5 separate regions of the Mus musculus genome follow, and regions 2, 3, 4 and 5 are each reported to be linked to region 1. Evidence: microRNA targets listed by miRTarBase, many of them from high-throughput screens and not tested one by one. Region 1 holds a microRNA gene; each other region holds the end of a gene's coding sequence.

Region 1 (6,450 bases):
GCGATCACCTGTAACCCCAGCACTCAGGAGGTGGAGGCAGGAGACCAGCGATCACCTGTAACCCCAGCACTCAGGAGGTGGAGGCAGGAGACCAGCTATCACCTGTAACCCCAGCACTCAGGGGGTGGAGGCAGGAGACCAGCTCAAGATCACTCTTGGCTAAACAGGAGTTCAAACCCGTTTTTAAAAAAGGAGTAGCCGTGGTTTGGAAATTCATCAAACCGTGTGTGTGTGTGTGTGTGTAGGGGAGAACTAGGACATTTTTAAAAAAGGAGTAGCCGTGGTTAAGTAGCCCAAAGGGGAAACAGCTCACCGTTTTCACTTAGCCAGGCCAACACACTGGATGCAGGACAGCACAAACAGGCCACACTGCCAAGAGGCCTCTGAACAGAGCAGGTCATGGACCTATAAGGGACCCATCTCCCAGGAATGGTTGCTGTGAGGGTCCCATGCTTTTAGTACAAAGCTTTTCTGAGCCACTGTTAACAGGGGGAGGGGGGTTATACAATTATACAAAAATCTTTGGGAGGGAGTGAGATAGGTCCCTGGTTGAACGAAGGCAAATTCACTCAACTTCTTTAATTAGGGACCCATGGGCCTTCGGTGTCCCCTCTACAATGTGCAGAGTGGAAACCCTTACCTGGCCCTTTATCAAACTGGTCCTGTGTCCAAAGCTCCCCCTATAAGAGGGACAGGAACGTCAGGCTTTTGATGCGAAGCCCAATCAGACACACACTGTGTCCCTGAAGAGGCACCTTAAAGAGCTGAACCCGGCAGGGGGCAGATTCCTAGCATGGCTTGGAGTGGATGCTGACACCTGGTCCGGTGGTCTACTGACTCCTGAAGACCAGTCTGCACTGGGGCAGGCGGGCTGGTGGCAGTGGAGCAAGGGCTTCAGGAGGCACTGGCTCCTCTCACTTGCCCTCCTCTCCTCCCCAGTATCACTTTGCTTCTAAAACATGGAACTAGCACAGGGATAGCAAGAGACAACATCTAGCTGACTCCGTGCCACCATGATAGATCCTGTTTAGTTTTGGGAAGAGAGGAGTTGATATGGCATCTTTGTGGCAGACTGCAGGTGGTAAGAGGACTCTGGTGGCAGTCAGGCCTAGAGAGCTGGGGTTTCATGGAGAAGTAACAGGGCTCCCATGAAGCCACACTGGGCTTTGGTCACATGGAGAACCAAGAAGCCAGAAAGGGACCTTAAAATTCAATCAACTCTGAGGCTCTTATTGCTTAGTCAAGACCAGCCCTCAGAGCTTTGTGAGAAGACCCCTCCTGCAGTATTGGGATGCCAGTGAGATCAGGGTCTGGACCTGAAGCCACAGTCAAGCTCCCATGTTCCTGGCTAGCACCTGCAGCCCTCAGCTCACCTTGGGAGGACCCTACAGACACCAGCAAATGAGGCTGGGGAAATGGCATGTGTTTGTCACAGAAGTGAAAGCCAAGGCTCCATAGCCTCGGGCCCAGGAAGAAGTCTGCAGAGTGCTGGAGGAATGCCAGCCAGTCTCCACTCACACCACCACACTCCTCCACCAGGCTTTCTCAAACCCCAGGCAGGACCTCGTGTGTGGAAACTAGAAAAATTTGAAAATATTGACTCCTGAGTGGGAGGTACCACACCTGAACCAACCCACAAACGCTGGCCGGCCTCCAGGGGAAGCAGAGATGGGGTAGGAACTCCCGCCCACCTCGGAGGGAGGCAGGGAGTGGGCGGGACTCACTTAAGGCAGTGAGGTGGAGGCCCCTCAGGGGCCCCTTGTGTTCCCAATGGTAGCTTTCCACTTTGGGGAAACTTCCACTCTGTGACTGACATTGAAAGCAACAGGGCTGAGAGCTCAGAGCTGCCCAGAGCACAGAGCTATGAGGACCTCACTCAGTCCTATAACGAGAAGCAGGAGGCATTTGGCAAATCAAGTAAGAGCAACACTTGGGACAACCAATCAATTAAGTACAACCGGGGAAAGTCCTTCTCCCAAGGCTCTGGAGAGGAAGAGCAGCAGCCGAGAAGGATAAAGGCGAGAGCAGACGAGAGCTGGCCAGGGCGGGACACCAGGAAGACACAGAGGGAGAGCCAAGCCCTCCCCAGCCTTTGGAGCTAATGTCCTTGCATCAGCTAGCACAGAACCCCTGAAGAGCACTTTTGGGATCTACACGCAAGGAGACAGACATCTTGCATTGAACATTTGCATTTTCTTTGTACCCCAGCGCTTCCCACACAAACCTCAGGCCCAGGACTGGAGCTCGGGCGAATATAAACCACTCCAAGTTTAGAAAGAGATTTTTAAGAGTTAAAAGAACAGAAATCAGCTATATGTCCTCCTCCAGGGCAGAGAGAAGACCTCCTTTCCCATGGGAGTAGGACTATGGCTTGGGAGTGAGAGGCTGGCCTGGCACTGGAGCCCGGGTACAGAGAAGTGCCCATGGCAGGCATTCTTGCTGGAGCCAGGTGTAGCCCATAGGACACAGAACCTGGTGGGTCTGCGAACATGCTCTCATATTCCCAAACATGTCTGCAGCTGCTGGCTAGGTTTCTGTGTTTTCTGAAAGATGTGTGTCTGGGCATCCAAAGCAGCCTCCGGCCTCTCCCTTCTCCTTGGCACAGGTCTTGATGCTGAGGGAAAGCCATGGTTTGGCGAGGGAGCCTACAATAGTTTTCATGGCTGTAAAGCTCAGTAGCTCACAGCATAGCAGGAAAGAAGACAAATGACTTGGGTTGAGTCCTTATCTTTCAGCTTCTCCCCCTACTGCACAACTGGGCACCCAGGACCATAGTTTACCGGACGGGCACATGCACGCACACACACCCACACAACCACCTGGGAACTGAGCACGGGGTGCAGAGAGCTCTGGGTCTTGGTCTGATTTCCTGCTCTGCGTGTGACCTGCTTTTGTCCCACACGCCCTGGCTACTTGCAGACCCCGTCAGTGAGGCTGACCACAAAGGCACAGTGTAGCAGAGTCCCCTGTTGGGATGGCCGTTTCTTGGAGCAGGAAGGCTAAGGGGCCCGCAGCTGCCCAAGGCTGGTGTAGACATCATCAGTTCCACTTAGCTCCTCGAAGACTGGAATCAGGTTCAGCAACTCTGTATCTGCCATGTCATCAAACCAGGACTGCACAGGCACCTGGGGCAGGAAAAAGTGACATTATCTGATATTTCCTTTCCTTTCCAGTGCCATTGGAGGCTGCTGGGCCACACAGGGGTTGTGGACTCCTCTGATAAAGCCCACGGGCCCAGCCTGCAGCCACCCCAGTCCCTGATGCGAGCACTCACTGCATTTTCTGGGTGGAAGATGTAAGATGCAGGGGAGTTGTCCAGGATGACAGTTTTCCTCAGGTCCCTTCCCAGGCGGCTGAGGTCCTTGACATAGCAGCCCTGGTGGAACACACAAGCCTCTCGGAACAGGCGGGCCCGGAACACCCCGCACCGGTCCAGGAGATCAGTCACAGGGTCAGCATACTGGAAAAGAAGGAGAAGCTTTAGCCTAGGCTGAGGGCTGGCTCTCCCCTGCCTTCTGCCCCTCCTGCAGTCAGGTACCTTGGCCAAGCTGGCAGTGAAGAGAACACATTCGAAGAGCTCCCCCATCCGTCTCAGGAACTCATCGACGTAAGGCCTCTTGAGCACATATACCTGGGAGACAGAGTGGATTGCTGTAGGAACCCCACAAGGCCAAGGACACAGCACCGGCTCTGCCTGTGCACTGACAGAAAAGCAAGCAGGCCTAGATACCCAGGTCGAGACACTGAGACCTCTGCCCCACCATGGACAGCTCTACCATGTTACCAGGCTTCTGCTGCCTCAACAGGCCCAACCCTAACCCGGCAGGAAGGAATGCACTCCCAGGAGCCATCTTCATTGAGGGCAGACCATGCGCTGCCTCCAGAAACAAGTAATCAAGAACAGGCCTCATGGACGGACACAGCCTATCCTGGATTACTTGAATCCAGCCGCAGCCTCCACAGTAGCCTTCTGTACGGGATTCCAGCAGGACGGCTTGTGTAGGTCCCATCTGGCAAGAACCACAAACTTCTTCAAACACACACCCTCGTAGGTTTGTGTGCACACCACCAGCTTCGAGGACTTGCTCGCTTTTAAAGGTTCTTCAACTAACTCGCCACCCAGTCTATGATCTGCTGCTTCTTCTTTCTTTCTTACTTCAGCCTGCACAAGTGTTCCTTAGGCCCACTCACTCACTTCCTTAAAGCAGCACAGGGGGTGTGCCCACCCCAGTCCCTCCTAGCCCACATCAGCACCAACTGAGCAGAGCCCTCCCATTTAGCAGCAGAACCCTCCATGCAGCTGCAAATGGATCTATCCATCACCTTCCACTTCTTAAGCCTCACAAACAAGCCCCTTCCTCACCAAGCATTGCTCTCCTCCCAGGCTCTCCTCAGATCCACATGGCAGGCAGCCCTCTCACTCAGGCCCCTTCTGCCCATGCCAGAGCCCCATACATTCTGTACATTTCTATTTCCTCAACTAGACAGCAGGGGGTGATGGGTGGAGTAAAGAGCCACAGCTTCGAGGCTCTGTACAGAAGTTCGTAAAGGGGCAGAGGGCTACGATGACAAACCCAGGACAGTCTCAAGCTGAACTTTCTCAGTCTGAAAACAGGTCTCATGCTTGCTAGGATGTCTGCATCACTGTCTCCGGCCCTCCCCTGGGCCGACCAGCATGCCTCTGGGCACATGGTCTCTCACCAATGCCTCGTGGTCCTTAACCCTAGGCAGCAGGGTGTACACGGCAGAGCCTGGACTCTGCCACTCTGACAGATGCATATGGAGCACTTACAGAAACCAGTGTAGAGGTCAGAAAGGTGTCATAGGAGGGGCCTGGGCCAGGGAAGACACATTCAGTAGCTCTTCACCAGAGGGCACAGGAGCAAATCCTAACAGCCCTGCACACAGAGCAAGGCTCGCCTGGTCTAAGCATGGACTGCATGGGCTGGACAGCATATGCTCTTCATTGAGGAGCTGGGTTCAATTCCCAGCAACCCCTGGCAGCTCACAACTGTAACTCTGGTTCCAGGGGATTCGACACCCTCACACAGACACACACGCAGGCAAAACCAGTAATGCACATTTAAAAAGCCACAGTGATGGCTAGGACTATGATGTGAAAATGCCAGGGGCTGCACACAATGGTGAAGGCCTTTAATTAACTCCAGCCCTCTGTGAGGTCCAAGTCAGCTAGAATTAAATAAAGAGACCCTATCCTGGGCTGGAGAGATGGCTCAGTGGTTAAGAGCATTGACTGCTCTTCTGAGGTCCTGAGTTCAAATCCCAGCAACCACATGGTGGCTCACAACCATCTCTAATGGAATCCAATGCCCTCTTCTGGTGTGTCTGAATACAGTTAAGTGTACTCATATACATAAAACAAATAATTCTTTAAAAATATTTTTAAAAAAGCCAACAGTTCTTGCAAACAGCCTGACTACATAGAGACAGGAGTGTTGGCTAGAGGGAAGTGTGGATGATCTGGAGACAAGCCATCAACAAACATGGAAGCTGATGATAAACAGGTTGAGAGGCAGTTTCCCTTTGAGGCAGGGTGTATGCTGGCAAACAGCTCACCTGGTGCGTGGTCCCCTCAATCTCTACAGGCACTATGAAGTCAGCATTGTTGATCGGCTAGAAGGCAGAAGTGCACAGTGTCAGCAGACAGGAAACCCTACCCCCTGGAGACAGCCCACTGAGCAGTTCTTAGCCAGCACAGGGCAAAAAGTATCACATATTTTCCGGTTTCCCTTCTCCTTCATCCACCCATCCATCCTACCCACCAAATTCTACCTGAGGTAAGTTTCAGGGCTTTTGAGATGGGGTCTTGCTACATAGTCTGGGCTAGCCTTCACCTCCTGCTCTCATGAGCTATGCACACAGGCATGCATGCCTGGCTCTTTGGGCTAGCCGTGTTCATCTCCTGTTTCCGTGAGCTATGCACACAAGCATGCATGCCTGGCTCTTTCAAGACTGACTGGCTCTTACTGGGTAACTCATGTTATTCTGGAACTTGTGATTTCCCTGCCTCAGTTTCCCAAGCACAGGGATTGTGGAAGTTCCCTCTGCACCCAACTTAAGGCTTTCTTGAGTTAACAAACGCACCAGTCAGGAAAACCAGATAATGCTTACCTACTTTTTCCACGGTAAGTCGAGACAGACACAGCATTTAGGGTGGGGTGTGTGTGTGTGTGTGTGTGTGTGTGTGTGTGTGTGTGTGTGCCTTAACCTCTTCAGTTTGGCCTCTGGGTATCTGTGACTCCAGGGTGGCCGACAGCCTGTCCTGTCCCTGTCATTTCCACGTTCATCTGCTCACCTTACTGACCCTGCTGTGCGGCTCACACAGGCCCAAGGGAAGGGTACCACGCTGACTCACCTTAAAGGAACTGTGCACAAGGGTCTCATCCAGGTCAATGACCACGCAGATCCTGCCTTGATCTTGCTCTGTCA
Region 2 (6,450 bases), not on the chromosome of region 1:
CTCATTGCTGTCACTCATACCGTCATGAGTCTGAGCTAGCCCACATACATATTCTAGGTTGGCCCCTAGGACTGCCTGTTCTCTTTGGCTACATAATGAGACCACATCTCAAAAAAACCTCACAGAGCTGTATTCAGTTATTATAATACCCCAAGCCCATCATTGCTTTCTGTTCTATTCAAATGTTCCTTGTAAACCTTTGGGGAGTAAATGCCTATTTTTATCCAGAACTGACCACAAGAGAGTACTGTTCTATTTTTGTCTAATGTAGAAGTTACCTGAAACCAGGTTTGAGTTAGCCCACCATTAGCATCTTTTTTTTATCCTCCCTTCTTTTTGTTACTATATACTAACTGAATAAGTGGGTTTTGTTACAGCACACATATAATATACTTTGATCACACTCAGCCGTTACTTTCTTCTGCCCCTCCCCCCATCCTTAATAATCACCCTTTTAGTTTCGTGGTCTTTTCCAGCCCGTAACCTCCACATACTTGGTCTTCATGGAATTGATCTTAATTAACAGGATGGTCTCCACTTCCATCCATTTTCCTGCACCAATAAAAATGTATTCTTGATAGCTAAGCAAAGTTCTAGTGAACGCATATACTACATTTTCTTCAGATCATCTTTTCTGTGTATGTGCACATGTGTGCATGAGTGTGTTTCTGGGGATTGAACATGTACATGCTAGATAAATAAGTCTACTACTGAAGTATATTCCTAGGCCTTTTTTCTTTTCTCATCACCCCCCCCCCCATTTTTTTTTGAGCCAGGGTCTCACTGGGTTTTCTAGTCAGGCCTTGAACTTGCATTCTTCATTCCATAGCTAATTATCAAAAGGCACATACATATACAAGGACACACTCTGCCTTGGTCACTGCTACCTTAATGACATGAAGTATAGCATCATTGATAGGGGAACATTGGAAGTCTCGTGCCTCCAGAAGTGAGCAGGATTAGTTATGCAGTATGCTGGTTGATGGACTAAAGATGGACCTGTAGCTTAGCAAACTCAGATTTGATTCCTAGTTTATATGAAATGGAGTAAGAGAGAAGCAAAGAAAATGGCATTAGACAAATCCATAGTATGGTGCAGCTGACAAGCTGTCTGTTTCAGTCGGGTCTTTAATAGGTCAGTGTTGTGACATGAAATGAAATTGGGAGGTCCAGTATAGAGGAAGAGAAACATAGCCAAGTAAGATGCAGGTGGAAGAGCTGACCCATGAAGAGATTGTAGGGAAGGCAAGGACGCTTGTGTGTGATGTGACAGCATTGGAAGACTTTGAGGAAGGCTGTATCAAAATAAAAGCAGAAAGCAACAGTGTATAGAGAATAGATATTCCCTTCCCTCTGTGTGTGTGTGTGTGTGTGTGTATGGTGTGGTGTATTGTTCGCTCATTTGTGTTCTTCTACAATATTTGTGTTCTTCTACAATGTGGGTCCTGGGGATTAAACACTGGCCAGTGGGGTTGGTGGCAAGCACCTTTAATCCATCCCTTGGCCAGAGAGATGCTCAGTAGTTAAGAACACTTTGTGCTCCTTGAGAAGATCCAGTACCCTTCTTTGGCTTTTGGCTGAACATATACACACAGACAAATACAAAGTAGATATGTTTTAAAACTGTATCTCAAAATATAGTTGTAAAGTATGTACATGAAATAACTTTGTGGCTTTTAATTAGTTCATTAGTTTACCTCAAAGCTGACTCTTGGATTTTGTTTGGAATTGTTTTAAAACACAGTCTCAGTCCAGAACCCAGGCTGGCCTCAAACTCACCAAAGCCCTCCTATCCATAAAAGTTGTGTTTTAAAAGAAATTTCATAAGTCTATTTTATTTATTTGTTGGGAGGCACATGTGTGTGGCATGGTGTACAAGTGGAGATCTGAGGACAAGTTCTGGGTGTCTGTTGTCTCCTTCTGACAATAAGCATGTGGGCCTATTGTCAGGTGCCGTTATCTGATGACATATGATACTAAGTATGAAGGAGCAAACCCATATTTTATAAGAGACCCAACATCCTCTGCTAGTAGTTATATAATTATATTCTTATCAACATTAGAAGAAGGATTTTTGAGATGTTTGTCTTTCATCATTGTAGACTCTATTGTAAAAACCATAGTGGAAATGATGAGCGAGATGAAGAAGATGAGGAGCGAGAGAGTAAAAGCCGTGGAAGAGTAGCGATTGATCAGCAGCTAACCCAGCAGCAGCTTAATGGAAACTAGGTATGGAAGTTGATTTAAAGCTCTGTTGTCGGAACACCGTGCACACTAAAACAGAATGATGAGATGCAGCAAAACTATTAAGCCTATTGTATAGAGTTCCTAATGTGGGGCCAGGATGCTTAGTTAGGATTCTACAGGCTGCCCTGTAGAGTTGTATTTGCTTTTCTTTACCTGGTCCGTTTTAGAGCCATAAACAAGCTATCTACTTCATCAGTAAACATAGTTAGGATATGGCATTAGTAAGATACCCTTGTTCCTTAATAATGTTATGTCAATTATATCACCTTAAGCATCATATTTTACTTTTTTTTATCATCTTTTAAACAGGTTCGTGGGACAGAGAGAGTTAGAAAACTGAGAAAAAACAACTATAACTCCTGTGCTTCTTTTCCACTTTTTTCTAAAATAAAGGGTTTGTAACTTTTTACTGCCCGACTCTTAGATCCTTCATTGAACTGCCTAAATCACCTTGTTAGTTTTCTGAGCCTTCAGTAGACGGCCGAATTTGACATATTGATATTACGTAGCTGTAGTTTGCAGTTTCTGGGAAGCAGTCAAAACACTATTAGCCCTGTGTATACTGTCAGCAGTTAAAACAGACATTGAATGAAGTAAACTGTATTTCTGGACAGAACAAAGTTGTACTGTTTAGAGTATGTAAGTTTGTGTAGTAGATCCACGCTCAAAGGAAACCAGAAGCAAGTTGTACTCCACCTTGCAAACATGCCTCTGGTAGCAACACCTGGCAATTTGGGCAATGGAAACGACAAATGAAGAGACTCTTCTTTTTGTCTTGGCTTTGACAGCACATGCTCTAACCATTTCTTTCACGAAGCGTGCTGAAGCCTACCTGTGGTCCTTTTTAGAGTTATTCTCACTGAGCAGCATGGACTCTGGGCGACTGGTGATGATAAGCTCTGAGCTCCAGTGCTTCTGCCAAAACTCTGGACAGTACACCTTTCTGTGCTGTACAGAGAGCTTCTGGCAAAATAATGGAATCGTATCAAGATCAAAATAATGTTTGGCAACATCAGATTAAACCTCTTTGAAATTCAAGAGGTCAGCAATGCGCTAAAGGACTTTGGACATCATGTCTGAAACCAGCTTCTCTCAAGTGCCCTGTTGTGTGGAACACTTCACATATTGGCCCAGCATATATAAGGAGGTCTTATATGCTAACATTTTTTTTAAAGGAACCATCTTTGTGCAAAACAGTATTTCTTTTTGACTCTGTGACCACTATTTTAGAAACATTATTTAATGCTTTCAGTCATCAGTTTGCTTACAGATTGAATAAGCTTTTGTGCCCTGTTTTTCTTCGAGGGCTCGGAAGTGTTTTCTCAATCACCAGATTTTTAGAAAGGCTTTCTTTCCACTGGCATTTCTCACTCGTGACACACATCCACTTACCTGCTGAAGCACATTTACATATTTCTTTATGGCAAAACCAAAAAAGTTAGTTGTGGTCTGCCTAATATTACCATAGCACCTCAGTATGAAAGGTAAGGATTCTGAGTTCCACATCATTAGTTAACCTCCCATAGTGAATCAGATTTGCAAATAAGAAATAACGTACTAACTTGACTGTACATCCATCTATTCTGTAGCTGGTAGAACAGCGTTTTGAAATGTAACAGGTGGAAAATTACACTGTGCTTATTGACTGAATTTTTAAACTGCTTGTCCCTTAAGATCATGTTTGTTAAGGTGTGTATTTACACATTTACTTAAATCAAGGGACTCAATGCTTGCTTTCTTTTAACCATCTTTTATTGTTATTTTAGAAGGAAACTAGCTTTAGTGGATTGCCTTGTGCGTCTTCTCCTTTCGCTCTTAATATGCCATGATGTGTATGTGATTAATTTTCAAGGTTCATCATGACTTGAAGTGCAAGGACAGATCTCAGTTTGTTTACCAAGCGATGCGACTTTTCCCAAAGGATCTGTACTTTATTTCCTTATAACAGCTTGAAAACCATTCTTTTTTAAATCTTTAAATCACTGTGTCTAGGTAATTTTTCCATTGTGTGCCATAGAACTTACCCATGGAGAAATGGAGCCCCTTCATTTTTGGACAACTACTGTAATGATTTTTTTTAAGAAAAATGGAAGGTGCCAGGGGTAATTATGGCCAGTCAATAATTATATAAAGGACTTCAAATACTATAGCCGTCAGTTGATGGATTTGATATGTAGTACATGTATGATTTTGTATGGGTTTCTTCAGCCCTTTCTCTGCCACTAGCAACCAGAAAAGCACTTTACCTTTTGGTTGGTTAGATAAGTGGCTAACTACCTGTTTTTCTCACTGTGGTGTGATTGGCTAGATAACCTTCATTTAAAGTTGAAATGTAAACTGAAGTCACATTAAACACTCACGTTTGGCTGTAAACTTCCAATAGTTTGATTCTTTGTTCCTGTTTTCATTCTATGCTGAGTAAAAGTGCCTTACAATGTAAAAATTGTACAGTACTTACGTTCCCAAGTAGCAGCTTCACCATCTGGCTAGGCGTCACATTGTGGTAGGAGTATTAGATCAATAGACCTCAGCAGTGTATTTACTGTACAACTCTTAAGTCCTTAACTGTAGTTTTAATAAGCATGACATTATTTGGCAAATATATGGCATTTACATCATTTCCAAAAATACTGCCATTGCTGTCTACTGCGTATTTTTAGCCTGAAATTTTGATGCGTCTTTTTTTCTTGTTTTTTTTTCTTTATTTCTTTTGTTCCCTTTTGTCATTATTAATATTAAACCGTGTAATCTTTGCAAGCGTATATTGAAGATTATTCTGGAGCATTTATTGCCTTACCAGAAATGTTAGTAAGAAATGTTCTTTAGAGTAGAAGGGTAGACTTGAGTTTCTATACTTTAATAAGACCTCTTTGTTCCTGGGGGGAGGGGGGAGTTTTGCTTTCATCTCATTGTTTTAAAGCCCACACAAGAAATTAATTTCATGTCAAGGATCAGCAGTTTTCAAACTTGAGGTGGTTCTTAGTACACACGACTCAAGATACTAACAGAGTAACATGATCTACAGATCTGCTATTGAATCGAATCTATGTACTTGAACAAATGTGTGAATCTCAAATATCTCAAAGCAAAAGTGTTGTAGAATGTTGTTGCTTTTTGAAAAAGCACTGAAGTTAGACCAAGGCACAGTTTTGTTTTAGCAGACATTTAAGTTAATTGTAAAGATAAGGAATGCATCATGGGTCAAAAATCAAACATTCCTCAATGTTATGTATATTTTGTTCCTGTTATATTGGCTTTATTTTCAAAATTGTAGTTTGTAGTATTAGTTTCCTTTTAATGGTATTCTTGCATATACTATTCATTCAATAAATGAGTTCTGGATTTCAGGTCTGTGTCTGCTTTGTAAAAGTGTGTATCGGGTTATTTGTACCAGCAATAGTGCCATGTTTCTTTCACTCTTCCTTTACTTCAAGGGGAAATACAAATGCCTAGGATGTTTAATAATAGCTCGACAGCAAACAGATATGAGAGGGGGACTAGCGAGTAGTTCCAGCATACTCTTAGCCTTGACTTCAGTCCCCTGGTATGGTAGATAAAGCACATAACTCAAAATGCGGATGGACTGGAGGGGTGTGGTTAAACAAAAATGAATATGATCTGCCCAGAGTTTCACAATATAAAGATGTCATCATGGAAAGAATTAGCAGCCTTTGAAAGACAGTAGATTTAGAGCTTATTTTGGTCCTTCTAATACATGATGCAGATCCCCATGGCTTAAATCAAGTCCACTGCCTCCAAATCAGTATGTAACTCTGAAAATGAACACACCAAAATGCCTAGTACAGATTATTTGACAGGTAACAGGTCTTTGAGCTATTCCACATCATAGACTTAGGTTACTCCCTTTTCCACAGACTGCTTGCTGCTGAGCTTTGCACATCTGTTGTGCTTGATCCTACCCAGGTCAGAAATCGAAGTTTTGATTCCTGGACTTCACTTTTCCCAGACAGTTTCTAAACCTGCATTCGTATGGAAAGATGGCCGGGACACACAGTAGTATGCTTTCCTATGCATCCTAACTACCTGGCACATTGTGTGTGTGTGTGAGAGAGAGAGAGAGAGAGACAGACAGACAGACAGACAGACAGAGGTAGAGAGAGAGAGAGTATTTAAAATCCATGATTAAGTAACAACTAAAAGACTATAATAAAAACATAAAAATGAGTTATATGGTTTTCTTTA
Region 3 (6,450 bases), not on the chromosome of region 1:
TTGATGCTACAAGAAACAAGAAGGGGCCCGGGAGTGGTGGCGCACGCCTTTGATTCCAGCACTCGGGAGGCAGAGGCAGGCAGATTTCTGAGTTCGAGGCCAGCCTGGTCTACAAAGTGAGTTCCAAGACAGCCAGGGCTATACAGAGAAACCATGTCTCGAAAAACCAAAAACCAAAAAAAAAAAAAAAAAAAAGAGAGAAACAAGAAGGGGACACTCCACACCCATCCAAGAGGAGACACACTCAGGAGGATATCAGAGGGCAGAGGAAAGGCAAGGCACTCCAGTCACTCGAAAACCCCCCTCTTGGGGCGTGCACAGGACCTCAGGCTGACCAGGAGCCAGCAGCCTGAGCAGGGCAGATCCCACAATGTATCCTTCCCTCAGGCAGAGCCAGCTCTGTGTCTAAACACAATCTCTTCACTTCATCAATACCTCAATATCAATACCTCAGCCTGAGGTAGCAGTGAAGTGGCAAGGTCAAGGCTAGCCTGAGCTACATAGCAAGCCTTTATCTAGACAACAACATCATCAACAACAACTTAACTCCCCACTAACAAACCAAACCAAACCAAACCAAACCAGCAGAGGTAAAAGGTCTCTTTGCTGCCCCTAGTTTAACAAGAGCGGAGAGAAGGGACTTTTGGCCCTTGATGCTCCCCCACCCCTGGACCTTGGGAGCAGGACTTGTCCTGACATGCAGAATCAAGTTAGCATTTTAATACATGAGCTGAAACAGGGCTGCAGTGGCGTTCACCTTTAATCCCAGCACTTGGGAGGCAGAGGCAGGTAGATCTCTGTGAGTTCTAGGCCAGCCTGGTCTACAGAATGAATTCCAGGACAGCCAAGGCTATGAGAGAGACCTTGCCTCAAAAACAAACAAACAAAACAAAACAAAAATTAGATGGGTAGATAGAGAGATAGAATCTAACTAACAGAATAGACTGCTGGGTTTACTACTTTTTAATTTAGTTTCTTTTGAGACATTATATAGCCTGGGGCTGGCATCCAACTACTGCAGTACGTAGCCCACTCTGGTCTGGAGTTTAGTTCTTCTTCAGCCTCCGGAGTGAAGGTACTGGGATTACAGGTGAGTGTCACATGCCCAGCATTGCTGTGATCTAAGTGCAGGTCACTTCCTGATTCTCCAGGTAACGTCATCTATAGGACTTGGATACAGAGTAGGGGAAGACAGAGAAAATGCCGAATTTGGGACCATTACAACAGGAGAGAGAACTCCAAACCGCAGCAGAGCAGAGCCAAGCCTCTAGTTGCCACCTGTCATCTCAGCATCGCACTGAAGGCTGAGATGGGGGGAAGCAAAGGATGATGGTTAGGGGGCGGAGTCCATGCCAAGAGGATGGTTTCCAGTTCGTACCTGAAGCGTTTTTTAGGAGCTCGGAGGACAGTAGGGGCTGAAGGATCACCAGAGTCATAGAAACCTAAGAACAGGGCTGGTGAGATGGCTCAGTGAGTAAGAGCACCCGACTGCTCTTCCGAAGGTCCGAAGTTCAAATCCCAGCAACCACATGGTGGCTCACAACCATCTGTAACAAGATCTGACGCCCTCTTCTGGTGTATCTGAAGACAACTACAGTGTACCAGTGTACTTACATATAATAAATAAATAAATCTTTAAAAAAAAAAAAAAAAAGAAACCTAAGAACACTGGTTTGTGTTCCCGATGATGTGTCCTCTGCACTCCATTCACAATTCTGAGGTGTGATTCCATGAGTCCACACCTCCAGCTTCTAGCAAAGCCCACACAGGGAACGAACTATGAAAGATGATCCTCTTACAGTTAGCAGCTCCTAAGCAGTAGAGTTAGGCTGGGGCTCGCTCACTACTGAGCATGCTCCTCTGCATCACTTGGCTTAGCCTCACGCCCTAGACCCGCCCCTTCTGACCTATACTTTTCTGGGGTGAGGCCAGGCCTGAGTATGTCTATCTACTGTCTGGGGACTGAGGCGGAACCTATTGCGGAGGAGGCTGAGCCCAGATGGAGAGCTGACCAAAGCAACACACCAGCATTCCTGAGGAGAGTAACTTTTTTTTTTTTTTTTCAGTTTTTTGAGAAAGGGTCTCTTAGCCAGTGGTGGTGGCTTGATCTTTTGGTCCCAGCAGTAGGGAAGCAGAGGCAGGTGGATCTCTTGAGTTCAACATCAGCCTGGTCTACAGAGGGACTTGCAGCACAGCCAGGGCTACATGAGAGCCTGCCTGGAAAAACAAAAAGAAAGTGTGTATGTGTAAGGGAGAGAGGGAGGAAGAGAGAGAGAGAGACAGAAACAGAGAGGGAGAAGGGGAGGCAGAAAGAGAGAGAGGGAGAGAGACTGACTCTTCACAGTTCTAACCTGGAACTCACTCTGTAGACCACGCTGTAGACCAGAACTCACAGAGGCCTGCCTGCCTCTGCTTCCCAGTGCTGGTATCAAAGGCATGTGCCACCACTTTCTATTTGCTTCCCAGCTCTTCTTCACTGTGACCTCAGAGGTGAGGTGCTGGGAATAGTCACCCAAATGACTTGTTCTTCGGTAACTCAGTCTCTTGCTGGCACCTTGTATCCTACAACATGTCGCTAAGTAAGCACTACCATCACGTGGGCCAGGCTGAAGCAAGGTGATCATGACCCACCCGAGAGAGCAGAGACCAGGGGAGTATTAGTTCCTAAGGACTGGGGCTGTAGCTCAGGGGTAGGACACTTGTCGAGCATATGTGAGAAAGCCCCAGGTCCTATGCCCAGCACTACACAAACAGAACAATGAACCTGTGTGCCTGAAAACCGAGACCCAAACTGTGAAGTCCTGGCTGTGACAGAGAAGCCAGGGTCCTGGCCCTGCTCTAGACAACCCATAGCTACACTTGAGAGCTGGTTGGACTAGCTCCAGCCTGGAACCCTACCACCAGGGAGAACCCAGCCTGCAAAACAAACAGACTCCAAAGAACATTGGAATGTGGGGACTAGCACTGGAATGCAGAGGGACGCATGAACTACACCCTAAGATTGCTTGCAGTTGGAATGTAACTATGTAATTGAGGCCCAGGTAAGCAAGAAGACCAAGCTATAGGAAGACTGGCCTGGAGACCAAGTTTCTGGTTTTCTTCAACCCTAGCTAACCCCTCAGGAGACTGATGAGAGCAACTTGTACACACAGGAAGTACGTGCCTAGCCATCATCATGTCAGGGGTTATACTTAAATGACTGGGGATGCTTTGAGCTTCAATTACCAGCTTCAAAACCCAGGCAATGCTGCCCCTGCAGGCATGAGCCTTCACCAGCCCTCTAGCCAGTGATTGTCTAAGCTAAGTCAGGACCTGAATGTCATACAAAATCCTTTCTTCCTTGAGAGGGTCTTTCCCTTTTTTTTTTTTTTTTTGAGACAGTTTTGACTATATAGTCCTGATTGGCCTCAATTGTGGAAATCCACCTGCTTCCAGATGGATTAAAGACATTCACCACCACCACCACGCTTGGCCTTCTATTTTAACTTTTATCAGCAAAATAACAGCTGAATAGACTGAATAGGCTGAAACGCTTCAGCATGGTGGTACAGGCCTATAACCCAAGCAGGAGGAGTAGGAACTCAGGGTTGCTCTCAGCTACAGTGTGAGACCTGTCTGCAGAAGAAAAAGAAAAAAAAAAAAGAAAAAAAGAAAGAAACCTGGCTCAGTGGCCAAGTGCTTGCCCAGCATGTAGGAGGGACAGGGTGACCCATTTGGCTGCAAAGCAAGAGTTGAGCATTCAGAGAAATGTGAGCTCTTCCTAGCCTCCAGACTGCTCAGGTTCCAGCTTACTCTCCACTGCTCTCCTTCCCTGGCTCAAGTTCTCAGCAGCTAGGGGCTGATGAGTTTGAGAAATCCTTCCCTCTTGAAACTCGGGTAAAGCTACCTGTGCATGTCTGCCCAGCCTTGGCAAACAACCCTGCCCAAGGGACGGAAGGGACAGCCAATTCCATAGGTTACAGTCTGTACCCCAATATGACCCTGGAGTGAAGTTACACCAGGGAGAGCAAACACCCCCACCCCATCCCTGCTGAGCTGCAACAGCCCTGTCACTACCCAGGAACTGGTATGGTCTGAATGAAAATGGTCCCCGCAGGCTCATATAATTCAATGTTTGGTGCCCAGTTGTGGTGGACTATTTAGGAAGGACTAAGGTGTGTCACTGGGTTTGAGGTTCCAAAAGGCCAAGCCATTTCCAGTCTCTCTCTCCATCCTGCTTGTGGAGCAGATGTAGGCCAACTGCTCTAGCATCATGCCTGCCTGCCGCTCTGTTCCCCGCCCTGATGGCCATACCTCTGCAACAAGCAATCCCCCAATTAAATGCTTTCTTTTATATGCTGCCTTGGTTATGGCGTTTCATCACAGCAAAAGAAACCCTAAGACAGCTGGGCCACATGTGGAGCCAAGATGGCAGAAGGTAGGATTGAGCAGGGTTGAACTGGGGCAAAAGTACAGCCAGAATCTTCACTTTTTTCCATTCTCCTTTATTCCATAAACACCTAGTTACAAGTTGCACAAATCATTAGTTTTTATAAAGGCAGAGAAGGGTAAAGGAAAGTGTTTCTGTGATGGGTGGGGGAAGGGACAAAGAATTGGAACTAGTCCACTTTCTCCACAGCCCTTATAGGACCATGGCACCTGCAGTGGGGCTCTGAGGAAGAGGTGGGCAAGGGTCAGGGGAGCTGAGGGACGGAGATCCCTAAACCCAGAGCTTTCCCCAAAACCCTTCGATGCGTGGCAGGGGCTCGGGAAGATGAGGCGGCTTGGAGATGGAGCAGCAACATGAGAACTCAAGTTAGTGGATACAGGATGGGTGGGACACGCAGTGAGGGGTGAAGATGGAAACGTAGGTAAGGGGGGCAGTAGAAGGCTCTCCCTGAGACCCAGGGAGAGGCGGGGCCAGCTTGCCTGTTAATTTAATATTAAATTGGGATAGAGGTTGGAAAGGACAGTCATTTCAAGGATGGTTACTCAGCCGCTCAGCCTGCACCTGGAGGAAGGAAAGATGAGCCTGTCAGAGAAAGGACACAGAAGTCTGGGGTCAGGAGCATCTTCCAGCCACTCAGAAGGAGCAAGTCTCCTGTCCCACGACAGCTTAACTACATTGATCTGCCAGCCAGCCTCCTCTGGTCTGTCACATTCCCACTATTCCCTCTCAGGCACTTACATGAGAAGCTGAGAGCCTGGGGCCTTCACCAGTCATAACGACGGGACTGTCGGGAGGGGGAGTCCTCAGGTCCCTGGATCGCCAGGCGGGGAGGCCCCTCAGCCCTTCGCCCCCCACCCACAGATGCCTCATGCCGTCGAAATTCCAGAGGACGCTGCTGTCTGTATCGGGATGTCTCCCTTCTCCATTCATCATCAAATGCTGCTGCCTCACCTAAAGAGGACAGAGAGCAGCCATGGAAGCCACAGTATTCTGAGATCAGAAACCAGGGCAAAGGTTGAGATCATGCATGGGAGAATGGGGGTTGGGAGCCATCTTAGCTTCAACACAGTTCCTGGATGCCACTGGCAAGCCTGAGGCACAACTACTGGGGTTACACACCATGGGGAGGCACAATTACTGGAGTTATACATCACGAAAGCTAATAAAGCACTCATTTGAGAAAGACAAAGTAAAGGGTGGAAAAGAAAAGCCACCAATCCCGATAGAGGAAACTACAACCATCAGCACCTGACGTCAGTCAAGCTCTGCCCCCTCCCTGGCAACACCTGACTCAGCCCTGAAGCTGGCAACAGAGCCTAAGCACAGGGCTCACCCACAGCTCTGCCTGAGATACCTGTGGGATGGTAGAGAAAGCTATGCTCCAGTCTACAGCAACTAGCTCAGGGACTGCTGCCCAGAAGAAGACAGGCTCACTCACTTTCATCCAGGTTGATGTAGTCCTGCCGCTCTTCCTGGTCCCCTGTGCGGTGGTTTCGGGAGCGCTGGAGGATGTGAGCCCTATCCCGAATGTGATGCCCAATGGACATCTGCTCTAGACCACTGTCTGAGTCCCGGACAGTCCTCCGTGTCTCCCGGATCTGGGACGAGGTGAATAGGCTCATTCACTTCTCCCCACAAAGCCCTGGCTACATCTCCCCGGGACGAACCAGCCACCCACGACCCAGTCCTGAAAACAGATGACCCTGGTTCCTGTGGATGCCGATCCATCCTACCTCCTCTGAGATAGAGGGGTTCCTTACTCACCCCGCCTGGGGCAGAGCGCATCTCCGACGTCTCCTGGTAAACCTTGGGCGCGCCGTCCCCAGTGTTGGAGTAGGAGATAACAGTGGAGGAGGAGAAGGTCTGGCAGTTGCCCCCTGCAGCCATGTGCTCCTGAGGAGGGACTGAATGAGGGCCTACTCTGCAGAAGGGAGCTCCCTTCAGCTGCTGGCTCTTGCTACATCTTCCTCAAAATACGTGAGGATGGGAAACTCGCATCACAACCGCCCCGATTCCTCAGG
Region 4 (6,450 bases), not on the chromosome of region 1:
CTCACTCGTGTCTGTTACAGTGCCCTGCAGTTACCTTGGCTAGGCTATCAAACAATTCCAAGTCTGGAGCCCCAGGCCCTCCACCCACAGACACCATATAAAGTTTTTCATAGCTGGGTGTGGTGGTGCATGGCTTTAATCCCAGCACTTGGGAGGCAGACGAAGGCAGATCTCGTGAGTTCAAGGCCAGCCTGGTCTACAGGATGGGTTCCAGGACAACTGTGGCTATTACAGAGAAACCCTGTCATACATACAAACATGTCATAGGTACATACATACAAAAATGGTGTTTTTTTTTAAACCACGGGGGTTCATGTGTTCTACAACCCTCTGTTTTTTTGTTTGCTTTTTGGTTTTCTAGACAGGGTTTCTCTGTGTGGCCCTGGCTGTCCTGGAACTCACTTTGTAGACCAGACTGGCCTTGAACTCAGAAATCTGCCTGCCTCTGCCTCCCAAGTGCTGGGATTAAAGGCTCGTGCCACCACTGCCCGGCCAACCCAGTTTTTATCAATTAATCTTTCCTGAGTTTTACCTTCCTCCTGATACAGCCACAGATTCCCATTACTGATAGCCTTTAGGTGGTAAACTTCCAATTTTGTTTGAAAATGTTTTGAGCCACTGTGCTGTAAAGATAGCATCTCTTGGTACACTTTGAAGTGAATACTTACATTGTTTTGGCCTTTGAGTTTTTAAAGTTAATTTTACATTGCTATCTAAAAATAAGGGGTTTTGTTTGCTTTGCTTTTGAGACAGGATCTGGCTATGTAGCTCTGACTGGCCTAGAACTTAGAGATCCATTTGCATCTGCCTCCCAAGTGCAGGCACCCTACTGTGCCTTTTAGTTTAGTTTGTTTTTTATGTATATTAGTGTTATTCCTGCTTGCAAGTCTGGCTAGCATGTGGGTACTAGGAACTGAATCCATGTGCTCTCAATAGGCCAGAATCCAGCCCAAATAATGGATTCTTAATGGCATTTCTATACATGTGCGTCATTATACTGTTTGTTCTCAATATCCCCTGCCCCGGCACACACACTGCCAGCATCCCCTCATACCTGCCCCCAACACTGCCCTCCTAGCGGTCCCTGTTCCTTCTGGCTAGTTCTCTTTCTTCCTTTAGATAAGTCTCTTCTGTTTTCTTGCCACTCTAGTGGGTTTTTGATGGGTGATTCATCTTTGGTCATTGTATTCCTTTTGTGACCTTGTAAAAGCAAGATTGAGTTTCTCCTTCTCCAGTTACTGCTGGTGTTCTTGATGGTCAGAGCTGATGGTGGGCTGGCAAGTCTAACCTTCTGACATCGGAACACGATGTCATCTACAAGATGTCACACAATCTCATGTTCAAGAACAGGGGGGATAAGAAATCCCACCAGATGAGACCAGGCATGTTCAGAGAGATACAGCCATGGACAAAACACCAAAAACTTAGGCTTAAAGTAAACTCACAGTTTCGTGTTGAATGGTATTCAGAACTATCCATGCCTCCACACAGCCCACGATACTCACAGGGCTGCAGACATACGGAACACTTCTGTCTCCCATACCCAGCCTCACCCATCAGCCAAGGTCCTTTACCTCCCCCGGTTCCTCCGGCTCCCCCTCTGTCCTTTGCTTAGGGTTGTCTTCTGAACAGCTTCCTAAACTTTCTGGAAACATAGTTCTTTTCTGGCTGGAATGAAGGGTTGGGGAAACTTACTTGCAGTGTTTTTCATTTCTAGAAGTTCTACTTGATTCACATTGTCTGACATCCTTTTACTCTATTGAAAGGTAACACCTTTTGCACCTGCTATTCCTTATTCACATGTTTAAGAATTCCTTTATCAGCTGGTCGTGGTGGTGCACGCCTTTAATCCCAGCACTCAGGAGGCAGAGGCAGGCAGATTTCTGAGTTCTAGCCCAGCCTGGTCTACAGAGTGAGTTCCAGGACAGCCAGGGCTACACAGAGAAACCCTGTCTCGAAAATCCAAAAAAAAAAAAAAAAAAAAAAAAAAAAAGAATCCCTTTTCACTTTAGCTAAAGTGTCGTTACTGTTTACTGTGCCCACTCTAGTGCCCCAGCGTCCCCGCTCAGATCTTGTCTTTTGTTGGCTTCTGTGACCTGTGTTTTGTTTTTTAAGCCTAGAAAAGCTCATCTCCTTAGAACTTACTGTACACAAAATGCTTGAAACCTGTTTGTTGTATCTGTGTTCCTCTCAACCAGGGCAGTTTCCCCAGAGAGCAGTGAAAGATGTCTCTATAGACAGTTTGTGTTGTCACAGCTGGGAGTTTATGTGCATGACCGACACCCAAGGGTCAAGTATGCAGTTCGAAAAGACAGGTGAGCCTGCAGGAGACTTTCCTACTCTATACTACTGCGTCTGGGGCTCCATGAGGATCCGCACTGGCCTCTGGCAGTGCCCCTCGGCCTATCAGGACCACGTAAAACACTGCCTTGAGAGTGGTGGCGAAAACCCTTAATCCTTACTCTCAGGGGGCAGAGGCAGGTGGATCTCTGAGACAAGGCTGGTCTATAGACTGAGTTCCAGGACAGCTAGGATTACACAGAAACCCGGTGTCTGGAAATAAAAATAAATCCTCCCTTGGGGACTCTAGGGCCTCCCAGGCAGTCTGGCTACAGGCCACAGACTTCCAAGAAACGATAGTGTTATAGAAAGCACGAGCATGTGGTTTTCACCTCCTTGGAATATCAAGGCTGTGAGGCTATGTTTGCTGAATCCCCATCTGTGTCATCTTGTTTCAATATACCTCCTGGCACGTGAGAGGTCTCCCAAGGAATGTCACCCTGGAGCAGAGGCTATGTTAACAGTTCCATCTCTTACCTCTGACCCTGTGATGATGTCAGGAGGGAAAGGCAGCTCTTCAAGGTGTGACAGACACTTCAGAGAGTGAGATGCCCACCCAACTGTATGTGAGGGCTTGAGACAGGGTTTCTCCCTGCAGCCCTGGAACTTACTCTGTCAACTAGGCTGGTCTCAAACTCAAAAGACCCTTCTGCCTCTCTGCCACCCCAGCCACCACCTTTGTTTTTCTGCTGTGTCACATGACATGAGCAAATTTAAATAGGGCCTAGTGTGCAGAGAAAGGATTCTATTTTGTAGATAGAATAGCTATCTTGGGCAAAGCCAAGAACAGAACGTGAAGCTGTGAATCTGAGGTGGCCTGGCCATCTGAAGAGCCTGGCAAGGCCTAGACCTTGCTGAGACCTATCTCTATGGGATAGGCAGAGTCAGCCCCAGTCTGGAGTCTAGTCAAGTGTCTCTAGGACCTGAGGGACAGGAGTGGCAAGCCATGGAATGGAAGGGTACAGAGGTAAAACAAGGAACACAAAGGAGGCTATGGGGATGGAGGGGCAGACCCAACCTGTTGCTATGGAAACCTGTCTCTAGATGGCAAGTCCACCTGGGTAAACTAATCTTGCAGAATACAACCACCTTTTAGAACTAGCTTTCTTCCATGCCCAGAAACCACTCCAGTTCCTGAAAAAGATGGTTTGGGTGCTGGACTAACTTGTACTTGATCAGGTCGCTTTGCTGGCCAAACACAATGGGTTCGTATTCCACACTGGAGTCTTCAGGCCACAGAACTCACCTGTGACGACTCAGTGCTCCACCAGAACAGGCTAAATAGGTTCTCCTCATCCAATCTGTGCCCACCCAAGCTGCCAATGGGAGGCATAAGCAGGGAGAGAGTCACATCCACAGGCTCAGTTTCTTCCCACACGCCTGGGTTGCTTTCCTATGGATAAGTCAACGATGACACTGCCGAGCCAAGTAGGGCATTAAAAGATGCAGACGTGCTGGGTGTGGTGGCACACACCTTTAATCCCAGTACCAGAGAGGCAGATCTCTGAGAGTTTGAGACCAGCCTGCTCTACATAGAGAGTGCCAGGACAGTCAGGGCTACACAGAGAAACCCTGTCTTTAAAATAAATAATAATAAATGATGTATTCTGCCCACAGTGCACTGCATGACTTGGCTGGGAGGCCCAAACTTATCTATTTGGGGGGATAGGACCTCCTTAGGGGGATGGCCACAACCTGAGCTAACTTGATGCCATCTTTCCCCAGTTAGTTAACAGTTTAAAGACAGTTAGTTTTGGTAAGGTGGGTAAGCCAAGTTATTGGCTTCCTTCTAGGAACCACACTAGCCTGGTCCAGCTGCAGCCAGATTTTCCTTCTCAGCCTGTTACACACAACCCCTGACTTTGTGGCTCTTCCAACAGGCACAGAGCCCTCTATTAGATAGCCCCATCCTCCTCCCATTCCATGTCTCCCTTCTGCTCCTATCTGAGCCACAACCACCTTTCCATAGTGCCTCTGGTGGACAGAAGGAACCTCTAACCTCCTAGTTCCTGGGCCTCCTAGCCCACCCTCAGCTCAAAAATCTATCTGCTCACTCACTCAGTAATACCAAGGTAAGACAGGGCAGAGGAACTAAGCTCAACTAGCAGCCCCTGCTGGGCATTATGAGAAATACAGCCCAGTGTGACCAGTACTTTTTACTAAGCCAGTGATCCCAGGAAACCCTGCCAGGTGGATCAGGACAGACGTAAACATGCCCCCTTCTCTGTAGGGGCTGCCTGAAATCAGGTAAACGTGAGGATGATCCTCCGCCACCCACTGACAGTGGCAAGTGGCAGCTTCCGGCAGAGTACATTTCTAGCAGCACCCAAGTCTGGAGGCAGCTGCCTCCTTGAGGGCTCTGAGGTCTAAGCCCTGGTGGTCTTCAGTCAGAAGACAGGCTCCCGGCAGTGTCATGGAGCTGAAGCTAAGTCTGTGTGCACTTGTCCTAGAGAGGTACAACCAACTAGATGAAAGTGGAGTCCAGAGGTCCCGAATCCTGCTGGCTGAGCGCTCGGGCCTCAAACAGCTGCTTGATGAGTGCAGACTTCTCCTGCTCCAGCTGCGTGATGCGCTCACTCTTATCAGTCACCTCCTGGGCAGGCGAGCAGGCAGGCAGGCGGTCAGGGTTTGCTGGGCCTCCAGCCCCAGCCCCATCTTCCCACACCTCACCTGAGTGAGAAGCCGGTTCTGTTCTTTCAGCATGAGGATGGTCTGTTGCTGCCAGACTGGAGTTGAGGGTGAGGGAGGGCCCAGGGGCCCTAAAGAGGACGAAGGCAGAGCCTGTGGAAGTACACAGTGAGCCAGACCTTTCCTGGCATAGCATCCAGAACAAGGACAAGGGATGCCAGGCAGCCTCCAGAGCACTCACTCTGCCAGAGCAGGCTGCAGTCAACAGCTCCCCCAGGCACCGGGCCACCTCCTGTACTTTGGGCAGCAACCTCCCCAGAGGGCGGGGGCTTCCTTCAGCCCCAAAGTCCTGGAAAAGAAGCGGGACCATGAGGAAGTCCCGGAACCTGGCACACCTGTTCATCTCAAGTCTCAGCTCAGAGCCTCAAGGGAGCCCCACCCCAGGGCAACTTGGGTCCTGTTGTCAGGGCTGGCCTGGCACTTACTGCAGCAGCTCTGCTCTGGCTCAGGCGGCGCTGACGTTCCTGCACACGCTGCAGCTGCTGCTGGTACCAGTCTCGGCCCCGTGCCATCATCTCCAGGCCCTGCAGAAGCACCTCCTGTTCCTGGTCTAACTCCTTCATCTGCTTCAACTATAACACACACGTGAGCATGGAAATGTACTCATGACAGCAAGCAGACTGGCTCTATGCACACCTGCACATACCTTTGTGCTCCAGGAGCTGCAGGTGTGGGAGCTGAGACCTGTCCACAGGCAGTCTAGCACACAGACACAATGAATGACATCAGCACCTGTGTAGTCTGCCAATGCACCCACGACGGAAAGCACCAGCTTATCCAGGGAAGGTTCCAACGTATGCCTTGGAGAACATAGCCTAGTTTCTCCTCTTTGGATGATGGTGATACTGGAGACTGGCCTCTCAGCCCCTCTACTGAGGCTTCCCAGGGCAGCGGAGTGACTGAACAGACTCAGCACTCTAGCTTAAAGTAATTATACTCTTTGTGCACTAAGCTGGCCTGCAGAGGTGAGCCTACCTGGTAGGCAGAGCAGGGTCCCACACTCTGTCTCCAGGCATCTCTAAGGAGCCTCTTCTCCCTGTGCCTGACTTTGTCTGTCTTCCCTTAAGCCCAAGAAGGGAAAAAGCTGACCAGTTCTCCTACAGGGATTCCCCAAGTAACCAGGCCCATGGGATCTCCCTGGTTTCCAACCTTCTGGATACACAGAGTCCCTCAGAGTCCTGGCCCCTCTTACCAGGCTGCAGTCCACACCATTGGTGATGGTATGCCTTCGACGCTCGCCTCGGGCCCGTGGAGCCTGCCGGGCTTCACCTGTGCCCTTGCCCAGGGTCTTACAGGCTGCTGCACCTGTAACAGACAGTCGGGGACATAGCTTAACTCTGGGCAAGCCTAATGGCCTCATAATCTCATCCTGGCTCCCCAGCCCTTCCAGAATCCTCCAGCTAACTGCGACAGTACAAACCC
Region 5 (6,450 bases), not on the chromosome of region 1:
TTGTGTAAAAATTAACAGAAGGAAAAAGATATTTTGAAGGCTAGAAAGTAGAGAAAAAAGGAAGTACCCTACATGTATAGAAATAACAATTTTTGTATCATGTACCAAGTATGTTTCCATACTTATTGCTCTTTCTTCTCTTGAAGGCTTCTCATTTCTTTTGGGGACTCTGGGCTTTGATACAAGCTAAGTACTCCACGATCGAGTTCGACTTCCTTGGGTAAGACGATGCTAACTGAGGTTCTTTTTCCACGAGGTTGAGCTAGTGTAGACAGGACAGGGAGCCCCGTGTCTGTTTGCAGCATTGTGAAAGCCACATGCACTTACATGCTCAGCACGGGGCGTGTCCAGCAGGGGCAGCAGCAGCAGGTGAAGCATGCACACTGGCAGTGTGGCCTCTGTGCAGTCAGCTCAGGGCAGCTCTGACTCTGCCTTGTTCTTTCCCCACTAGGTATGCGGTTGTCCGTTTTAACCAGTACTTTAAAATGAAGCCTGAGGTCACAGCACTAAAAATGCCCGAGTAAAGAAGAGGCCTCGCTGTTCTCCAGGAGCCGAGCGACGCTTGTGGATGTTTCTGAGAAATTCCAAAAGCCAATATTTGTTAAAACTCATTTAATTTGGTTATCTTGCTTTAAGGATTATGCCTCTAAACAACCAACCTATTTTTAAATAGAATGATGTTGAGATATGCTTACTGCTGTCAGTGTGTGGCGGGCTAAAGAGTTGACCATCAGCAGGGAGAGTGAGGAGTGGGGCTTTAGCCTGTGGCAGTACAGCCATGTTACATGTGAATTATTTATTACAGATTTGACATGACTGACTACTTTGATCTTTCATTTGTTGGTTCAGTGTATGCAATGAGAATATTGTGGAAATCTTTAAAAGGTTTTGTTGATAGATTTAATTTCAGAAAAACATTCTTGTTGTTCAATGTAACCTTTGTAAAATGAATCATTTACTCTCAACCTTGGCAGTCACTGCCTCAGTAGTAACTTAGGGTATTCTAGAGAAGGGCCCATTGAGGGGGGAGTAAGGGAGTTACTGTCTCCTGGGGTATACTTTTTTGAATTGGAAATTGGAAATCATTTCTTTTGGGGGAGTACAACTTAGAATTAAATTGTCTCTACATAGCCTGACAATATAAAATATATTTACTGTATAAGCCTGGAATATAACAATTTAATGTTAAAATCTGTTATTAAGTCATGTTTTCAAATACTAGATACAGTCATTTAAGGTCATAGTCCCAAGTTTTAGAATTTACCTATCAAATTGTTTCTAACCAAAAGTTTTGTTTTACTTAAGATACTCTGTTTTTGTTCATTAAGTAATAGCTGGTATTGTTAGTATTTGAAACAAACATACAGAGTTCATCATACTTGGAAGCAAGGAATATCATTTAGATGCTTTTTATTCAGATCCATTCCTTAAGTTGGTTTTGTGTCTGTAGAGTCAGCAAATGATTAATTATACATGTGATTCCAGAGTAGTGTTGTTGAAGCAGTTACAGAATCAGTAAGGAACATTTAGCTAGGTCATTGAGCTTGACTACTTACAATCTAACAAATAAGGAAATGTGAATTAGACAGTAGTTGTGGTAGGAGGACTTGTTTTGATTTATCTTGGTTTTGTCAGTCTAGTTTTTATTTTGTGGATGTGTAGGGGGAGGCAACTATTTCATGAAAGAAAGTTAGGTCTTTGAGGTAGACAAGAAGGCTTTAATCTTTGAAGACTGCTCTGTGGGTTGAGCAGTCAGGGGTAACTTTACTTAGATTAGTCAGACAGGCTTTGCACTTTGGTCACATAAGTGCTTATGTACAAAGTTGGCTCCATGGATCTGCATATTTAAAGTATGCACTACAGATCTATCCTAAGATTGTCTGGTGTTCCACATGACTTATGTTCTCAGCCAAGTGCTTTCAAATACTTGGATTGTCTCAAGGTGTTCAAACCTAATAAAGTAGAAACATGCCATTTGAAATGGTAAATTCTAGCCACATATATACACTCTTAAATATGTGTCTCTAACAGTGTTAGACCTGGCTTCGGTTTCTACCTCCCCAGTGCTGTCATGTTCATGTTTGTTTTTATGAACCACGTTACTTACTGTAAGATCATTACAATTTTGCTGACTTCCTTGAATGGAAACAAATAATGACAAGCTCGTTACAACGTTCAAGCAAACCTGAAAAAAGAAAAAACAACTGGCTTAGTGGAATTTTCATTCATGGTTGAAACATTGTCGTAGGATGATAAAAATGTGAGCCTCCTGATTCTTTTCTTTCCTCCTTAAAATCCGAGAGTGTGTGTCATGTGGAAACCCTGGAGAAGACAGTGTTGCTAGTCTGTTCCTGTTCGTGAGAATGCTTTGAATGGAGGCTCACTGTGCTGCGGCGGCTGCGGCTGCTGCCGGTGCTGCTGGACTGCAAAGCAGCCAGCGGAAATGTGACAGGCTCCTGTGGCGTGAGTGCAATGACAGCGAGGCGTCCTTGTTCACCCTGCTAGCACGTAAGAGATCGTGGAGAGAGACCAGCACACGGGAACTCTTGCCCCCATTCCTTGGCCAGATTTGGGTGCTCTGATGCACCCGCTTCTCATACAGCTTTTGGGGATCATGGTGTAGACTATCAAGAGGATTCAAAATGTCTTTCTTTGTATTGACCATGTAAGGGATTCTAAAGAGGGTATATTGGGACTGTTCTGAAGAGCATCCCTCTAAAATGTGTCCTGTGGCTTGCTAGATATCAGTTGCCTTCTTTTGTTCAGCTAAGGAACTTGAATGCCTTACCTAATCACTCAACTGGTAGTAAGCTCGTTTTGTAAATGTGAAAGTGGATGTTAGAAGTGGCATTCATGGATGTTCAATGTAATCAATAGACCGTAGTGGCCTGGATGCTTTCACAAGCAAAATTCCCCATTTCTGCCCTCCACCCCCATCCTGTTTCCCTGGCACACTGTATGACCTTCAACCTGACCAGTGATATTTGATAGCCTTCCTCTCCCTCTGTGCTACCACCATTTCTGGAAATGAGATGTGGTGGCCCCGTCTTGCTGTTGGCATGATCTGCCTGAGATGAACATGAGCACAACCCTCATCAACTAGGTCTGCTTGGAGTGTAAATAGGACGGTGTAAATAAGCTGCTGCAATTAGTGTGAGTGTTGTCTTGCCTAAAGAGTGTGTAGTTCTGCATTTTCCTTTGTAGAAGTTTTTCTGTCACTAAATGATCCAGCCTGTTGTCATTAGGCTGGGAACCGAGCAGTAAGATAGCAGGAACTGGAAGGAAGGTTTAATGGTTTAGTTAACGTTGGCATTTATTTATTTAGCCTCTCAGTGCCTAATACGACTTTTCTCCATTTTTTACTTGGCTATTAATTTTTTTTGTAGGTTAGATTCTGGGAAGCAGTATATTTATAGAGCTCATCTTTGAGTCACAATTTGAAACTAAAGGAAACTAAAAATATAATTTGTTTGTAAACTGAAGTGTGGTCCCCTTTTCTATTTTCAGAGTTTGTTGACACTTTCTACAAAAACTTGAAATTCAATGTGAATGTAAATCTCATCCATACGAGACACAGGGCAAATGACGTCTCTCACGTTTGTCAGGCCTCTCCTCTGGAGTGGCTCAGTGTGGGCCAACTAGTTTTCTCTCCCTGACCCCCAAATGTTTATTTTAACTTTGTGTTGCTAACAAAAAAGAATTCCCGCAAACACTCGAAAGAAAAGTTAGAATATTTGAAAAGTACTCAGTTGTCTCAGTTGTCCGCAGAGCCCGTGTCTCCTGGTGACCTCACTGACTGACTTACAGAGGGCAGTAGGATCAGGTGGGACTTTACTTTTTTCTCTCTAACTTGCTTTTAAGCATTTTATCCTGCATTCCAGAGTACTGTAGACTTAAGTATTCCCTGTTAACGTGTCACCTGTCACCATGCTTTGTCCTGGGGTTGTCCTCGTGGCAGCAGCTTCTGCTACCTCACAGGGAAGGTGTGTGCAGGTGGAGAGCCTCCTGACAGGTCTCTGGCTTCAACTGCTGCTGATTTTCCTCTGTCAGATTGTAGGCTGGCCTTTACTGTGAAGCTGAGCTGCATCCTCTGGCCCGTTCCTGTTCTGAGTAGGTGGTGAGCCGCCTTTCCCCACAGTGACAGCAGTGTTCAGTCTTGGGTTTGACAAATGCTATCAGCTGCTCCAGACAAAACATCCCCATTTCTGGAATTTCAGTCCATGTTTCTGTAAACGAAAATACTGAAGGCTTTGCATTACTTTGAATTCTTGAAGGCTAAATTCAGTGACACGTTACAGAATGAGTTAGATTGGTTTTAGCAGTTTTTAATGCTGAAAATTTTCACTTTTGGCTCAGTTTGATACGGGAAGAAACCCCAAAGTATTTGGATTAGAAACAAGTCGTGATGCTTGATCGATAAGCACTTTAACTCCTGTGTTGGCTGACGCTTCTTTCTCTCCTGGACTGTAGACTATGGCACCACCAACCTATCTTTGTCCATTGTGCATTGTATGGCGTATGCACTTGCAAAAATACTCTTTAAAATAGTTATAATTTTATCTTTTGGTTGTCTTACCCATGGTGGTCCTTTAGATCCTGTCAAGTAAGTTTTAATAAAACACTAGGTAGTTATAGAAAACTGAGAACACCACATTGTCTTTTGATTAGTTTGCGAAGGTGGAGCAGGAAAGCCTATCCGATTGGAATTGCAGGCTTCCTAGCTGCAAACTCTTGAGAGCTAGGTTGAAACCCAATGACACCTGCAGAGCGGTGGAGGGCGGGGAGTGCCTGTTGTCCACCCCTGCACTGTGGCGTGCTGCTGTTTGTTGTAGGTAGCGACGTACTGAGTGTTCCTTGTTAGTAATCTGGAGTCGTCCTCTGTATTTACATGTACTAAAGTAACTGTAAACTAATGGAACTTGTAAGAACTTTCCTGTATTTAGGAGCTTTTGTACAGCAAGGTCACATGTCCTGATTGAAAGAAGAAGACATGCTATTACCTATCATATGCAAGGGAAAAAGCTGAAGTGAGGAGTTGTCTTTGCATTAGCTGTCTGTTGAATTGGGGAGCTATGGCACAGGATCTTAAATTTGTGTTTCTCAAATGTGAATTGTAGTCTAATGCTGCTTTGTATAGACTAAGTGCTATGGCTAGTCTCAGCACTGACCGTGGAGTGATACCTCGCAGTGAGCGCAGCCTTTGTTCTAGCTTCCCCGACTCCGCAGCACTGTCTGCGTGCTGGACAGCTTGCTTATCTGTCTGCTAGCAGAGATACTTCCTGCTTTTTCCTTTGTTGTTACATATTTTTATGTTTGAAATTTAATTTTTACTACTGTTAATTTAAGTAAAATTTGTTCCATGTATAAATTGGCATTGCCAGTGAAAATCAACAGCCTCATTCATGACGCTGCTGAAGTGAAGTACATTTGTGTTCTGTGTTCATGAACTTGCAATGAAGCCGTGTTTCTTTTACGATAAAGTGCGGCTTAGGCTTTATTTCTGTTTAATAAGGCTTTCTACCATTGATTAAATGAAGGAATGTATCTTTTTGAAGAGATTTATATTCTGTAAATAAACATTGGTTGTAACAATAAAGTTGAGTTCTAACTATAATGTGTCCATGTGGTTCATACTCAATTAAGACTCTCTCTTGTAGAATGAATATATGGAAGTACATGACTTGAAAGGGTTGGAGCTGAGTTGTAGAACATTTGCCTAGCAAGGGCAGTCAGTGTCTTAGGTTTGATCCCTAAAACAAGAGAAGAAACAAAAGTTTCCCAGAGTTAGTAATGAGGGCTGGAGATCCTTCTTCTTAGGAGAGGAGTTACCCAGTAGTCATGACGACTGAAAATTGTATCCCAACATCCACATAGCAAGCTCTCCACTCACCTCTAACCTCAGCTCCAGGGGCATGGGGCACAAATGATCATTGAGGCTTGCTGGCTCCCAACCTAACCAAGAAAATATGAGCCCAGGTTGAAGCATGCTAGGACTCAAAAGAGATCCGCCTGCCTCTGCTTCCTGAGTGCTAGGATTAAAGACATCCTCTACCCTATTAGGCTGATTGCATTTCAGCCACATAGAAAAAGAGGACAGGAAATGGGGTAAGGCTATACATTTCCAAAGTCCACTTGGTGACGTAACATACTTCCAGCAAGGGTTCTAAGGACTCTGCACCCTTTCCACATAGCCCCCAGCTGGGTCAAGGAACACAGCTCATTCAGACTGCCACATTCATTCTGGTTTTGCATTGTGCTGTGAAAACATTTGAAAATCTGTATTCTGCCAACTGAGCCACACCTCCCAGGCTCTAGAGGTTCGCTTCTTGTGCTTCTCATCCCCCCTATCAGGCTAACTCTTCCCAAACTCTAGGAGATTTCTCCTTGAGAAAGTCTGCTTGGCTAATTGTGCATCTGTGGCCTTTCCCATACCTCACTGCACTGCCCCAC

Evidence for each region. Region 1 holds the annotated microRNA mmu-miR-26a-5p (UUCAAGUAAUCCAGGAUAGGCU, at 3,922-3,943, opposite strand). A microRNA usually pairs through its seed, bases 2 to 8, with sites in the 3' UTR of a target mRNA and lowers its output. Matches are read on the target gene's strand: a 7mer-m8 pairs with bases 2 to 8, a 7mer-A1 pairs with bases 2 to 7 and ends in A, and an 8mer does both.
Region 2: the mRNA of Phf6 is a reported target of mmu-miR-26a-5p. Seed matches in the 3' UTR shown: 7mer-A1 at 4,110-4,116 and 8mer at 5,297-5,304.
Region 3: miRTarBase lists Mlf2 as a target of mmu-miR-26a-5p. The part of its 3' UTR that is shown has no 7-base or 8-base seed match.
Region 4: miRTarBase lists Sapcd2 as a target of mmu-miR-26a-5p. The part of its 3' UTR that is shown has no 7-base or 8-base seed match.
Region 5: miRTarBase lists Etnk1 as a target of mmu-miR-26a-5p. Seed matches in the 3' UTR shown: 7mer-A1 at 2,774-2,780 and 7mer-A1 at 3,532-3,538.

Annotation. Positions count from the first base shown.
Region 1 is chr10:126,993,036-126,999,485 of GRCm38, reverse strand. Mir26a-2 (microRNA 26a-2) reads right to left here and starts at 3,956; the gene lies at 3,873-3,956. It overlaps Ctdsp2 (CTD (carboxy-terminal domain, RNA polymerase II, polypeptide A) small phosphatase 2), which reads right to left. Exons shown (of 8, transcript NM_001113470.1): 4 at 6,377-6,450; 5 at 5,578-5,634; 6 at 3,539-3,631; 7 at 3,275-3,460; 8 at 1-3,125. The coding sequence ends at 3,000. It overlaps Mir546 (microRNA 546), which reads right to left and starts at 1,046; the gene lies at 926-1,046.
Region 2 is chrX:52,951,350-52,957,799 of GRCm38, forward strand. Phf6 (PHD finger protein 6) reads left to right here. Exons shown (of 11, transcript NM_027642.2): 10 at 2,103-2,229; 11 at 2,557-5,612. The coding sequence ends at 2,229. Among named protein-coding and RNA genes, the nearest start is that of Hprt, 34 kb to the right of the region's middle.
Region 3 is chr6:124,934,163-124,940,612 of GRCm38, reverse strand. Mlf2 (myeloid leukemia factor 2) reads right to left here. Exons shown (of 9, transcript NM_001170341.1): 6 at 6,194-6,322; 7 at 5,868-6,027; 8 at 5,168-5,380; 9 at 4,464-4,990. The coding sequence ends at 5,193. Among named protein-coding and RNA genes, the nearest start is that of Mlf2, 6.0 kb to the right of the region's middle.
Region 4 is chr2:25,374,835-25,381,284 of GRCm38, reverse strand. It overlaps Sapcd2 (suppressor APC domain containing 2), which reads right to left. Exons shown (of 7, transcript NM_001081085.2): 3 at 6,221-6,333; 4 at 5,454-5,600; 5 at 5,210-5,317; 6 at 5,011-5,121; 7 at 3,072-4,933. The coding sequence ends at 4,805. Among named protein-coding and RNA genes, the nearest start is that of Sapcd2, 6.0 kb to the right of the region's middle.
Region 5 is chr6:143,202,933-143,209,382 of GRCm38, forward strand. Etnk1 (ethanolamine kinase 1) reads left to right here. Exons shown (of 8, transcript NM_029250.2): 7 at 147-220; 8 at 452-5,614. The coding sequence ends at 524. Among named protein-coding and RNA genes, the nearest start is that of Gm52926, 37 kb to the right of the region's middle.